Drosophila melanogaster: one gene and its partner. The gene in region 1 interacts genetically with each later gene. Each region holds a gene or a part of one and is shown on either strand. Other genes may lie near its edges.

Region 1 (6,675 bases):
GCTGCAGCTGCAGCAACAGAAGGCAGTGGCCGCCAATGGCGGGGGTAGTGCCAGTTCAGCCAAGAGCGAGCAGCAGAGGATCCGGGATCTCTACCAGCGCCTTTATCCCGACGCTGTGAAAGCGCAGTCGGGAAATGCCCTGCAAGCATCCTTTGACCAGTGGCTGGAACAGGTCCTGGCCACCCATGTCAAGCAGCAACAGGATAAGCTGCGGCAGAAGCTCGACGCGGAGAAGTCCGAGAAGCAGAGCAGCAGTAGTCATAAGTCCACACAATCAAGCAACAGTAGCAGTAGCAACCACAATAGCACCCACAACAATATTAGTAGCAATAATAGTAGTTCGAATAGCCAATCCTCCTCCGCCGCCGAGCAGCAGGAGCTGCACAAACAGAACCTGCAGCTGCGGGAGTGCAACGACAAGCTCACCCAGCTGGTCACCAAGACGGTAATTACTTTTGCCCTATAGTAATTTATAACCTATCCAATGACAATAAAATCTTACGAACAGACAAACACATTGATGGACTTGGAAGAGCGTGCTCGTGAGCAGGACGAGCACTGGCGTGGCATCGTCGAGCAGAAGGAGCAGCTGATCCTAACCCTGCAGCAGCATGCCTCAAACGGAGAATAGGTAAGGAATTGTGTTGCTGGTCTATAATAACTAGATTTCTAAACATATCGTTTGTCTTTTTGCAGGACATTTAATGTCGAAACAGATGCGGAAAGGGAAGAGGAGGCCAACAACGACGATAAACTGACAAGCAACCGCAGAGTTTGTCCAACTTCCAAAAGAACAGCAACAGTAAAAAAGAAACAACTCTAACAATCTATTAAGTTTAAAGTTAATGTAACAAAAAAAAAAGGCGAGAAAAAAGTAAACCTAAAGCATGCCCCACAACAGCAACATTTAACATTTTATAGTAGCGAGAACCAACAATTATGAGAATGAAGAACTATGGAACGCTTTAAGAAATTATATACACATAACTAAAGCAAGATAATGATAACAATCGAAACTTGTGCAATGTTAAACGAGAAGAGAAGAAATGCTAGCAAAGGAAAAGTCCGACTCTGATTACAGAAACAGGCAATTTCCACCCAAGCCCTCCCAATAAAAAGCAAACCAACCCGGAAAAACCGCGAAAAATCCATTGCTGCTGCTACTTTCTAATTATTATTTAACACATACTTTGCATGCGATTATTATTTTTGTGTTACACTTGCATTTAAAAACGCGCTTTAAACAATTGTATATGTATCTTATGTTAAGCAAATGAATTTAAAACCCAGCTACTTAAAATGCAAATCCACAAAAAAATAAACAAAATAATAGTATGAATGTACGTATGCTCTTGTACTTGGGCCATTGTGAATTTTGTATGTTTTCCATTCATGTTTTCTGTTTTTGTGTTAACTTTTAATTTTCCGCCGCCAGGCAGCGCAAAGTATTTAATCCCAGGAAGAGCAAATGGCAGCAGCAACATTTAATTAAGCGTAAATAAACAAGAAAACAACTATTTTTATATAAAACTGAATGAGAACCTATCTTATAAGTAAACGCAAATTAAACACGAATGCTAACTAGCAATCTATTGTCGGAACCTGTTGCATGCGACATACTGAAAAATTAGGAAAACCAACAAATTCAAGCCCATCAGCAACCACAACAAACAAAAGAACGAGCTATAACAGCATTATAAGGATTTATGATGTTTAATTTACGATAAAATGAGAATTAAATATATACACACACATATGAGAAAGACATTTGACCTTTGACATTTCACTAATAAATAGCTGAGCTTTCGTGCTTAATTGCTGTTGGCGGTTCTGCTGGGTATCTGCAGGTTCTGCAGCGGAATGATCATATGGAATGGGTACTGTAGTAGTTCGGTGCACGACGGCCGCTTTTTGGGATTCAACTGTAGGCAGTTCTTGGCCATCTGCAAATAGAGCAGAGACAGTTGTAAACTTGGATTCAATTTATTTATAATTTTAGTTAGCTTATGTTAGTCTAAAAGCCTCATATTGCGCAACACTCACATGAACCAGCATGATGGGATAGTAGGGCGGAATGGCAGGATACTCGATGCTGGTGCCCGGTGTGGTGATTGCACTCATCTTGGCATAGACGTTTCGGATGTGGCCGAACGGTGTCTTTTGGTAGAGTAGCAGGTAAAGGATGCAGCCCAGCGACCACACGTCCGATTTGGTCGAGATCTTGATCTTCGGCTGATCGGCTCTGCGCATCGGGCTATTCCCCGTGGAGGTGTCCGTCAACGCCTCCGGACTAATGTAGTTAAAGGTGCCCGCCTGCGAGAATTTGATGATGCTCGTCGAGTCCACAGCGATATTGCTGGCTATGCCAAAATCGATCAACTTCAGTCTGCCGCTGACCATCAGGAAATTTGCCGGCTTGAGATCCGAATGGATGACACCGTGTTGGTGAATGTAGTTGACCGCTTGCAGCATTTGGTACAGGATGTTCATCAGGCTATAGAGAGGAAGGTTGGTGGTGTAGCTCTGCAGGATCTTGTTCAAGTCGCAGTCACCTTTCTCCATCACCATGTACAGCTTGGACTCCTCGCGCACAAGTTGACTAAGGAAAAAAAAGTACTTAAACAGTGACGTTAACAAGAAGTCAGTATTTAGAAATATTTACTAATCGTAAAGTGCCACAACACAAACGTTCCCTTGTAGCTTTGCCAGAAGTTTGGTTTCGTTTAGATATCCCTGCACCACTTGTGGATCGGCCTGCAGATCCACCACCTTCAGGGCGAACTCATTTCCGGAATCCGATCGGCGTGCCAAAAAAACAGAGCTGGAGCCGCCACAGCCCAGTTTCTTATCAATCGTATACTCATGATTCTTGATTTTTAAAATATTAGATGTCTTGTGGGAAGGCTGCTCTGGAGGTACAGCAACTGCGGGAATCGATACCAGCTCCTTTGGTTCCACATTATCCACTTTGTCTGGCACGTTATCCTTGTCCGACTCCCGGAAAACATGATCTAGGGACTTTTTGGAAGGATGCTGACTCTTTGGTGGTTCTGCCTTTTTCGGAGGCTCCGGAATGTCCGGGCTTTCTGTGATGGTGTCGCACAGGGAGAAGCTTATGCTATCGGAGGCCACTGGAGCAGCACGACTCACGGTCATAGGTGTTTGGAAGAGCACTTTCTGCGCACGGAAGTCATTGGACACCGCACTCCGACTTTTTCCCGCCAGTGTGGAACCAATTGTTCGTACTTGGGGGGTAATGAAGTCTGCATCCGGCTTCGTCTTCGAGGTGGAGGGTAATTCATTACGCAGTGGCGTCTCTGTCTCTTGGAGTGGGCGCCTTTCGGTGGCACTTGGTGCAGCTTGAAGCGTGGGTGCTGTCTTTTTGGCCACCTGTTTTTCCGAATTCGCAACAGGGGATCCTTGACTGCTGCAATTGATGCCCATGTCGTTGAATCTTCCCAGGAACGAGAGATTCGAATCGGATTGCTTAAGGGGGGCGGCACTTGGTGTTCTACGAGTGGTTATGTTGCTGTTGCTGTTTGTTAACTCTTGGGATGGGCTCAGCACAAAGGAATCGTTTAGGATGGCGCAGTTAAGGTTGTGATTGCTCTTGATGTCCTCCTCGTCACTGTCCGAATCCATCATAGTCAACTCGGACACTCGGCGAGGTCTAGAATCGATAAAAACGTTGTATGTAGAAGTAATGAACATTTCTAGGTGATCTTGTAACAAAAATCCCTCGACTTGTGGGTTAATATAGATTAACTTTTAGGGTATATACTAAGCCTAGAAGATACAGGTTAGTTTCGATGGACAGACCAATTTGGAAAGAAAAGATCTAGGATTCCTGAAAGAATTCATGGAAAATTAGATCCTTGCAGACTCAGGAGGACTTATGTATGGAGAACAGGAGATGTCATGCGATACTGGACATTGCTGTCCCAGTTCTTACAGCATATTTATGGGCAGGGGATGCGGTTCGTTCTCCTTGCCCCTCGTTTGGACTTGGAAAGACGCCACCGGCTGCTGTTTTCGTTCTCCCGCCGCCGCTTGTCGTGGTCGGTATGGCGTGTTAAAGTCGTCCTCGGAGTCGGAGTCCAGTCCCAGTGCCATCATGTCCTTGGTGCGGCGGGGCACAGGCGTGGTCATCTTGCAACCCGATTTATTCTGCCCGACAAATAGTTAAATATCCAATTGCAAATCAAATGCGGGGTTTAAATTTATTTTTTATTCAAGTGTGACCAAAGTTCAAAATTTAAAACATCCAAAGCGCGCTGAATGAAGCCTTTAATAGTTAATAAAACTTAAGTAGCCGAAGGCTAAGTTTTAAAATAATTAAACGAAAATGAGGATTTAAATAAATGTTTAATATTTTAAATTAAGAAATATTGAAAACTACCTAAATTATAATTTAGTGTTGACAACAAGCAAATATAAAAGCACACTCTTTGAGTGAGGGAGAGTGATGTATAAAATACATCAAAATGATTTAAAAGTAAGAATGGCTTAAATAAATAAATTAGATATTCAAATTCTAACAGTAAGTTTATTGTTTACATTTTAGGGTTGTCTTGTTTTTCATGGTCATCACAGAGCTGCCACCCTGAAAAAAGCAATATTTTGGCAGTGCTGCCACATCCAAGGAAAATAAGTGTTGTTTTCCTGCCGACAAATAAACAAAGCAGCAATAGTTCGAAAACTACGCATTCTAGAGCAGAGCAAATGGAGCAACCAGCAACTGGAGGCGCCGCTGTCCAACCGGGCGTGTCCCCAGCGCACATCCACGACACGGATCAGCTCCTGGACCCCGTCCTCTTCTCCAACGACAATGGAAGCTACAAGCTAAATACAGTGCCCGCATTTAGGTGAGATTTTATGCGGTGTACGGGGGAGAGACCTCAGCCGGCGGCAGTGAATCATCCATGGAGCTTTCAAACGACCGATAATGCACATAATTTAATCCATTCTCTGTCCACCCGTAGCCTTCATCTGGTTATCTCCACTGCAATCTCCATTGTGGGGATCGTACTTGCAGCCTCGTTTCCAACCGATCGGCGCTGCGATGCATACTTTATAATGCTCTACCTACGGGCCACCTTCTGGGTCATCACATATGTAAATATACCAATCAGCAGTCTGTCAATCCCGACCTGCCTCAATGTCAACGGTTTTTACAGCTCTTCGATCACTTCGTAAAGAAGCAACACGACAATCTACGCATGCAGGGCTATCACGACTTTCACCGCGAGACTAACATGCAGAAGGGGATTCCCCTTCAGCTGGTATCCCTGTGGAACTCCATGCTGCTTGCTGTCCAGGCCCTAATCCACCACTTCTATGCGGAGAACTTTTGGGAACATTGCGCCGCCGGGTGGCTGTCGCCGGTCAGCTATGTGACCGCCTTCACCGTGGCCGAGAATCTGGTGCTGGCCGTTTCCCACAGCTTATATATTGGTAATGAAGTAACATAGTATCTAGTCAGCGATAGTGAGGGAATCTACTTAGTGTCATGGTATGACTTTTATTTTTATTTTATTTTATGACAGATCGAGCTATCATCATTTTTTTAATATATCTGTGTGTATATATATTGAAATGACGATGGGCAACATTTTATTCAAATAGTTTATATAATGACATAATATAGTAGTCGGGATGGCTAGGTATTTTTTTTAAACTGATTAAGTGACTTGCAAGCAATTGTAATACGCAAAAAATGAGTCAGAGCCGCTTAAATAATCCAGGTATTTAAAATTGAAGTGATTCAGTACAGCCACTAATTAAGTTCGTTCTTTCTTATGGTTCCAAAGCGAAAGATTTTTGATTAAGAACCAAGTAATTTCAGGTATAAAAGTTGTCATAGACATGGCTAAAAATTCGTTACCCATTTCAGACAAGGTGCGTAAGTTCAACAGCGCCAAGCTGGCTCCGGATGTTTTGCGTGGTGCGGACCGCGCCGGCGGTTCCCTGGGCCTCATGCAACCAGGAGGCGACACAGAAGAGCTTCTGGAGAAGCAGGCCGACCTTATCGCCTATCTGCGTGACCATACACACAAGCTCAACCAGAAACTGCATCAAATGCAGACCAACGTGCGACCAGTGAGGGCACCACAAATTCCTTAAAGACAAATCAAATAACTATATAATTTTACGTATCATAATTTTACTGGATGTTCTCTTTTTATTCGTTTATACTTTGTTCATGGCGAAGAAATATTCTTCAAGTAGATCAATTGCAAAAATGCAAAAAATGTAATATTCAATTGTAAATACAGAGAACGAATTATAAATCCGCAATCAAGGACTATGACCATTAAATTGTATTATGCAAACAAGTCTGTGTGTAAAAATGATTAAATTAAAGCAGATTTATATCAATGATGATACGCGTCTTAATAGCCATTTACCAATGCGGGGGGCACCTCCAGAATCGCCAGCGAGTTATCTTTCGAAGATGTGACGATCTATAAGATTGGAGTAAAACATTTGAATACCGACTTTGGAAATATTATACAATAACTTACCTTATCGCCTACAACCGAAAGGGCTAAAACCATGCGACCAGCGCCAGCGAAACGACCAGTTTGAGTTCCGGTAATCTTGTTCAGGACGTAAATATAGCCGTCGTAGCAGCCGACTAGCAAATAACGCTCACCGTAGGCCGCAACAGCAACA
Region 2 (4,864 bases), on another chromosome or scaffold:
TTATGTAGCCAGTGATAGCAACCAAATAGCCGAGTCATGCGCACCGGCTCGCCCAGCAGCAGCGGCTCCCAGTCGGAGGAGGGCAGCAGTTCCTCAGATCACCAGCAGCCGCAGCAGGAAGCCCAGGAGCAGGAGCAACAGCTGCACACTCCCACGCATGCACATGCCGCGGTGCCAGCTGCCACATCGGAGGAGATCCTGGCGGAGTACGGCAGCAACCTGAAGCTACTCGAGTGCAATTCCCAGGTGGCCGAACTGCTGACCATATTGCGCGACAAGTAGGTGACGTTGGGGAGGAGGAGTCAGCAGCGTAGTAGCAGTACAACAAAATTCTACCCCCCAGGAACACCACGCGCAGTGACTTCAAGTTCTATGCCGACCGTCTCATCCGGCTGGTCATCGAGGAGTCGCTCAACCAACTGCCCTACACCCATTGCGATGTGGAGACGCCCACCGGTGCGATTTACGAGGGACTGAAGTATCGCTCCGGCAACTGCGGCGTGTCCATCATCCGATCGGGAGAGGCCATGGAGCAGGGACTGCGTGACTGCTGTCGCTCCATTCGCATTGGAAAGATCCTGGTCGAGTCCGATGCCAATACGCATGAGGCCCGCGTGGTTTATGCCCGCTTTCCCGATGACATCGGCAGCAGGCAGGTGCTACTCATGTACCCCATCATGTCCACGGGCAACACTGTGCTGCAGGCGGTGAATGTGCTGCGGGAACACGGCGTACCCGAGAGCTGCATCATCCTGTCCAATCTCTTCTGCACACCCATTGCCGCTCGGACCGTAGTGAATGCCTTCCCCAAGCTGAAGATCCTCACCTCCGAGCTGCATCCCGTGGCACCTAATCACTTTGGCCAGAAATACTTCGGTACAGACTAGATACTTGGGTCTATCTCGCAGACTTGACGACTAAGCGCTGCTTAGGATAGGTAGCTGTCGCCCAGACAAACGCCCTTTCCTGCGTTGCGCTCCACTAACAAATGCTACCCTCTCTCACTCTGTTTCGTCCTCCAGATTGCATTTGAGACACACAGACAAATAGACGACCCCTGCGGCCAACCAAACTACTACTTAGCAACTGTTAGCTTTTCACAACTGGCTTTTAATGCAACTCTCAAATACGTTACGTTCGTTACGCACTATTGTAAATATAGAAACGAAATAAATATTTAAACATTAGGATGAGGCGGTACTGCCTTTTAAGTGCTCATCTTGTAGTTGACCACGGTGTCCACCTTGTGCAGTCCTGTAGAAAAGGAGCGCAGCTGGACGGCCTGCGGATTCTGTATGACAATGGCACCCGTTTCGTCCCATTTGGCCGGTAATTCGGTGTTCTGCAGCGTGTGAATCATTATGTCGAAGGTGCAGATGCAATCGAGCAGTGGCAAATAGCTCACGGTGGCCGAGATCTGCCGCATAACGTCGCGAATCTCGTTCTGTATGCGACTCAGCTCCTTGGTGGTTGTTGCCTTGGTGGGATCACTGATATCGCCATCGCCCAACTCGGCCTGCATATTAAAGTCCCAGCACTCGAGCACCTCCTTGGTGTGGGCGTTCGTAATGACCATCGAGATCTTGTTGATCATGTTCTTCGAGAGCCATTCTATAGGTGAATACAAATAATGGTCACCATAAACTTGAATTTTTTCCAAAAGACCACTAACCTTCAGTTTGGCTGAGCACGTTCTGCAGAAAGGTCTTGATCTTGGGATCCTTGGACATTAGAATGGTTAGCCCATACTGCTGCGTGTTGTTAAAGTCTTCGGCTGGGTAAATTCCGCGTTGGAAGAGGATCGAATTGATGCCGTACTCTATTTAGGAAAAAAAAAGAACCAGAGACGCCATTGCAGGCGAACTTACAGACGCTTTCGTGACGTAGCTTGCTACTCACTCAGGTATTCCACAATAATCTGAGCGGAGCCCTTGAGTGTGATGCAGTTTTTGGTCGCCTGGGCAGTTGACATGTTGATTTAAGTCGATTTAAGTGGGAGAGAAATTAACAATTTGCTAAATTGCCGCTATTTTTGAAAGGTGTTGACTAGCAGAGATGACAGAAGCTCGATATACATTCGATACGTTTGTCTGCAATATATCGATAAATATCGGTGAATGTACTCGCTAAATTCAGTATATTTCTATATTTGGTGTGTGTATTGGCTATGCGACCAGGGATGGTGGAACCAGGGATGGCTAACTCCGACCAGTGCTGCCAAGCAATTCCCAAAGGGCGGCATATTTAAATTCATCAATTTATTTGCGCAATAAAATCAAAACACAATTATTGATTGCAACAAATTCAGAATTTTATTGGCCATCCTTGTGTAAACTAAATCTAAGCATGAGATCCATTTCTGAGCGCAAAAGTAATTCCGCGTGGTTCGGCCTAATGGGTTCCATCCGGTTCATCGTATTCCTGCCAAGAGACTAAAATAAGACAAGACTTTGATATAGCCAGAACAATAGAGGACCCAGTTAATCTATGCTATCCAAAACCTAGCTCGGTTCGTCAGAGCCTTGATTACTCTGCCCTCTGATTTGACAGAAAAGATCAGCAAAAGCAGAGCAGCAAATCATAAACGAAGTACAAGAAGCCACAGTGAACAAGAACAGAATATCAGACCAAATCAAAAAGCAATCGATGTTTGTAAAATGTGAATTATTTGCAAATTTTTAATTAAGTTTTTTCTTACGCATCGTTTTGTTTGTTTTTGTTGTTTTTTTTTCGTTTTTGTTTGTTTAATGTTTTGTTTTAAATTAAAATTAAACTTTACATGGTATTTTTGGTATAAATCTTTCAATAATTAAATATATAAAAAATTTGCCACTTAAAATAACTAAAAATAATCTCTACGCACTTTCTTGCTTTACGCCTAGCCATACAAACTGATGTCAACATACACATTGTGAAGAAATAAAAACTAATTTGCCATTTTACATATTTTGGTGTTGAAATTGCGCAAATCCAAAAAAAACGAGGACAAATAAAATAGTATTTCGAAATTAAGTAGCTCCATGGTGTCTGTGTGGGGTGTTCGTGTGTGTGTGTGTGTGTGTGTGTGAGCTTATAGCTATAATTACGTTTAATTTAGGTGTAATTAAATACAATAAATTACGGTTAAAGAAGGGCTTGCATTACCTTAGTTGAAATGTACACAAAACTTATCGTTAGTTAAAACGAGAGCTATTTACAGGATTTATTACAAAGTTCTCGGCTACGTCAACCTTTGTTATCATTTTAAAATTATTGTCTATGATACAACAACAAAAGCGCAACAATGTCAAAGTCAGGGTCGAATCGGTAATGCTTTGCTCTCGAACTTTGAACCGCAAACTTCGATCTTAGATGTTATATGTATGTGATATATTTCGTAAAATAAATAATTTAAAATTCTGCTCAGCTTTCATACATCCGATTTATACATTTAAGATATTCTGTCACCGTGCACAAGAACAAACGTAGCTAAAGTCAGTCTGGATCTGGAACTTTTCGCTCGGGAAGAAGGAACTCTAGGCGAGGGGAATTGTACGAATTTTGAAATGTTTTCTGTTTTCTGTTTTCGGATATGTATTCTTTGTAGTTGCAAACTTTGAGAACGGTGATGGGTTTTTGGGCATGGTCAGCTGGTGCAACAAATTCTCTAATTTTTTAATAAACGTAAAAAATTACAATTGTCCACGTTTTTGGAGTGCAGGGAGTTCGATTTTTTTTTTGTTTTTCGTTTTGTTTATAAAATCATAAAAATAATGAAACAAAATTCTATGCATTAATAGTCGTTATTTAAGGTATGTATTTGGCCGTAGATTGCAACAAAATATCTGTGAAGAGATTAAATTATAAATAAAATTAAAAATTAATCTTTCAGTTCTTCATTTACTGCTAACTAAAAGCTGGCTAACACCATTTCCACAATTAGGGGCAACTACAAGCATAAAATTGCGCTCTCAAATGAAAAAATCCATGCAGAAGGATATTGAAGAGAAGGTCTTTAGCAAGAACTACTTGAAAATTAGTGATTTGATATATGTATGTATATATTTTTATTTTGGGTTCATTCGAGCTCAAGATTTCACTTTGCCGTGGAGTTTACACTTAAGGAGGAAACGAGCACAAACTAAGGAAGTAATAGTGAACAGAGTTACCCAAATCGGAAACGCAGGAGATTAGTTAAAAGAAAAAATACAAAAAAAAAAAAAAACAATCACCAAATAAAAGAAAACGAGGAGCAGAATGAAATTGTTGGTTTGTTTGATTTGATTTGAATTGGGTTCTTTTCGGTGTATTTTTTTTTTGGTTTGTCAAAATCTACAGCCAAGTGTTAATGTCTAATAACGAGTAATAACTTAAATTAATTGAAAATCATAAATTCTAATGGGTTATCGAATGTGGTTTGTTTTTAATATTTGCAAACTACAAATAATAACACTGAAAACAAAACAAAATTCAGTTCCCGTTTCAAATGTTTAGTCAGTTCGATGCCTTTGTGGGTGAGTGCTGTTTTTTTTTGTAACTAACTTGCCAGCGTTTATGCGTGTTGATATTCGTGTATCTAACTAAGAGAGCCTCTGTTGATTTTTATCGTAAATCTGGATATTCATATTGAGTGTGAGTGGGTGAGTAAGTGTGGGCTGAGCCAAAGGATTCGACAAGTTTCTCAGTACTTTGTGGGGGAAATGTCCCTTTTTAGTCAAATTTTCCTGTTGTCCGGTGTCCGTCCGCTTGTCCGTCCGTATGTCCGAGTTGCTTGATTATTTTGTTTTGTTTTGCTGTTTTTTGTTTTTTTGTTTTACATTTACTTGTGGTTTTGGTTGGTGTGGTTCGTGTGATGAGTGAATTGAAATTAAATTAAGTTCCTATG

The links. Genes that interact genetically often act in the same process or in processes that back each other up.
Region 2: of Mps1 (region 1) and mad2, changing one suppresses a phenotype caused by changing the other (phenotypic suppression), as found in Drosophila melanogaster (one study listed by BioGRID).

The regions. Positions count from the first base shown.
Region 1 is NT_033777.3:17,668,845-17,675,519, reverse strand, and holds Mps1 (monopolar spindle 1), read right to left. Parts: upstream 4,250-6,675; 5' UTR 4,150-4,249; coding exon 3,953-4,149; intron 3,671-3,952; coding exon 2,663-3,670; intron 2,600-2,662; coding exon 2,044-2,599; intron 1,972-2,043; coding exon 1,714-1,971; 3' UTR 1,692-1,713; downstream 1-1,691. Other genes in the region: alt (aluminum tubes), read left to right, coding at 1-445, 509-631; CG7523 (uncharacterized protein), read left to right, coding at 4,723-4,865, 4,983-5,115, 5,178-5,454, 5,894-6,123; CG14322 (uncharacterized protein), read right to left, coding at 6,393-6,464, 6,525-6,675.
Region 2 is NT_037436.4:5,811,043-5,815,906, forward strand, and holds mad2 (mad2), read right to left. Parts: upstream 2,052-4,864; 5' UTR 1,973-2,051; coding exon 1,900-1,972; intron 1,820-1,899; coding exon 1,673-1,819; intron 1,612-1,672; coding exon 1,208-1,611; 3' UTR 1,093-1,207; downstream 1-1,092. Other genes in the region: kri (krishah), read left to right, coding at 37-278, 344-876, 1,023-1,033; vn (vein), read right to left, coding at 3,773-3,824.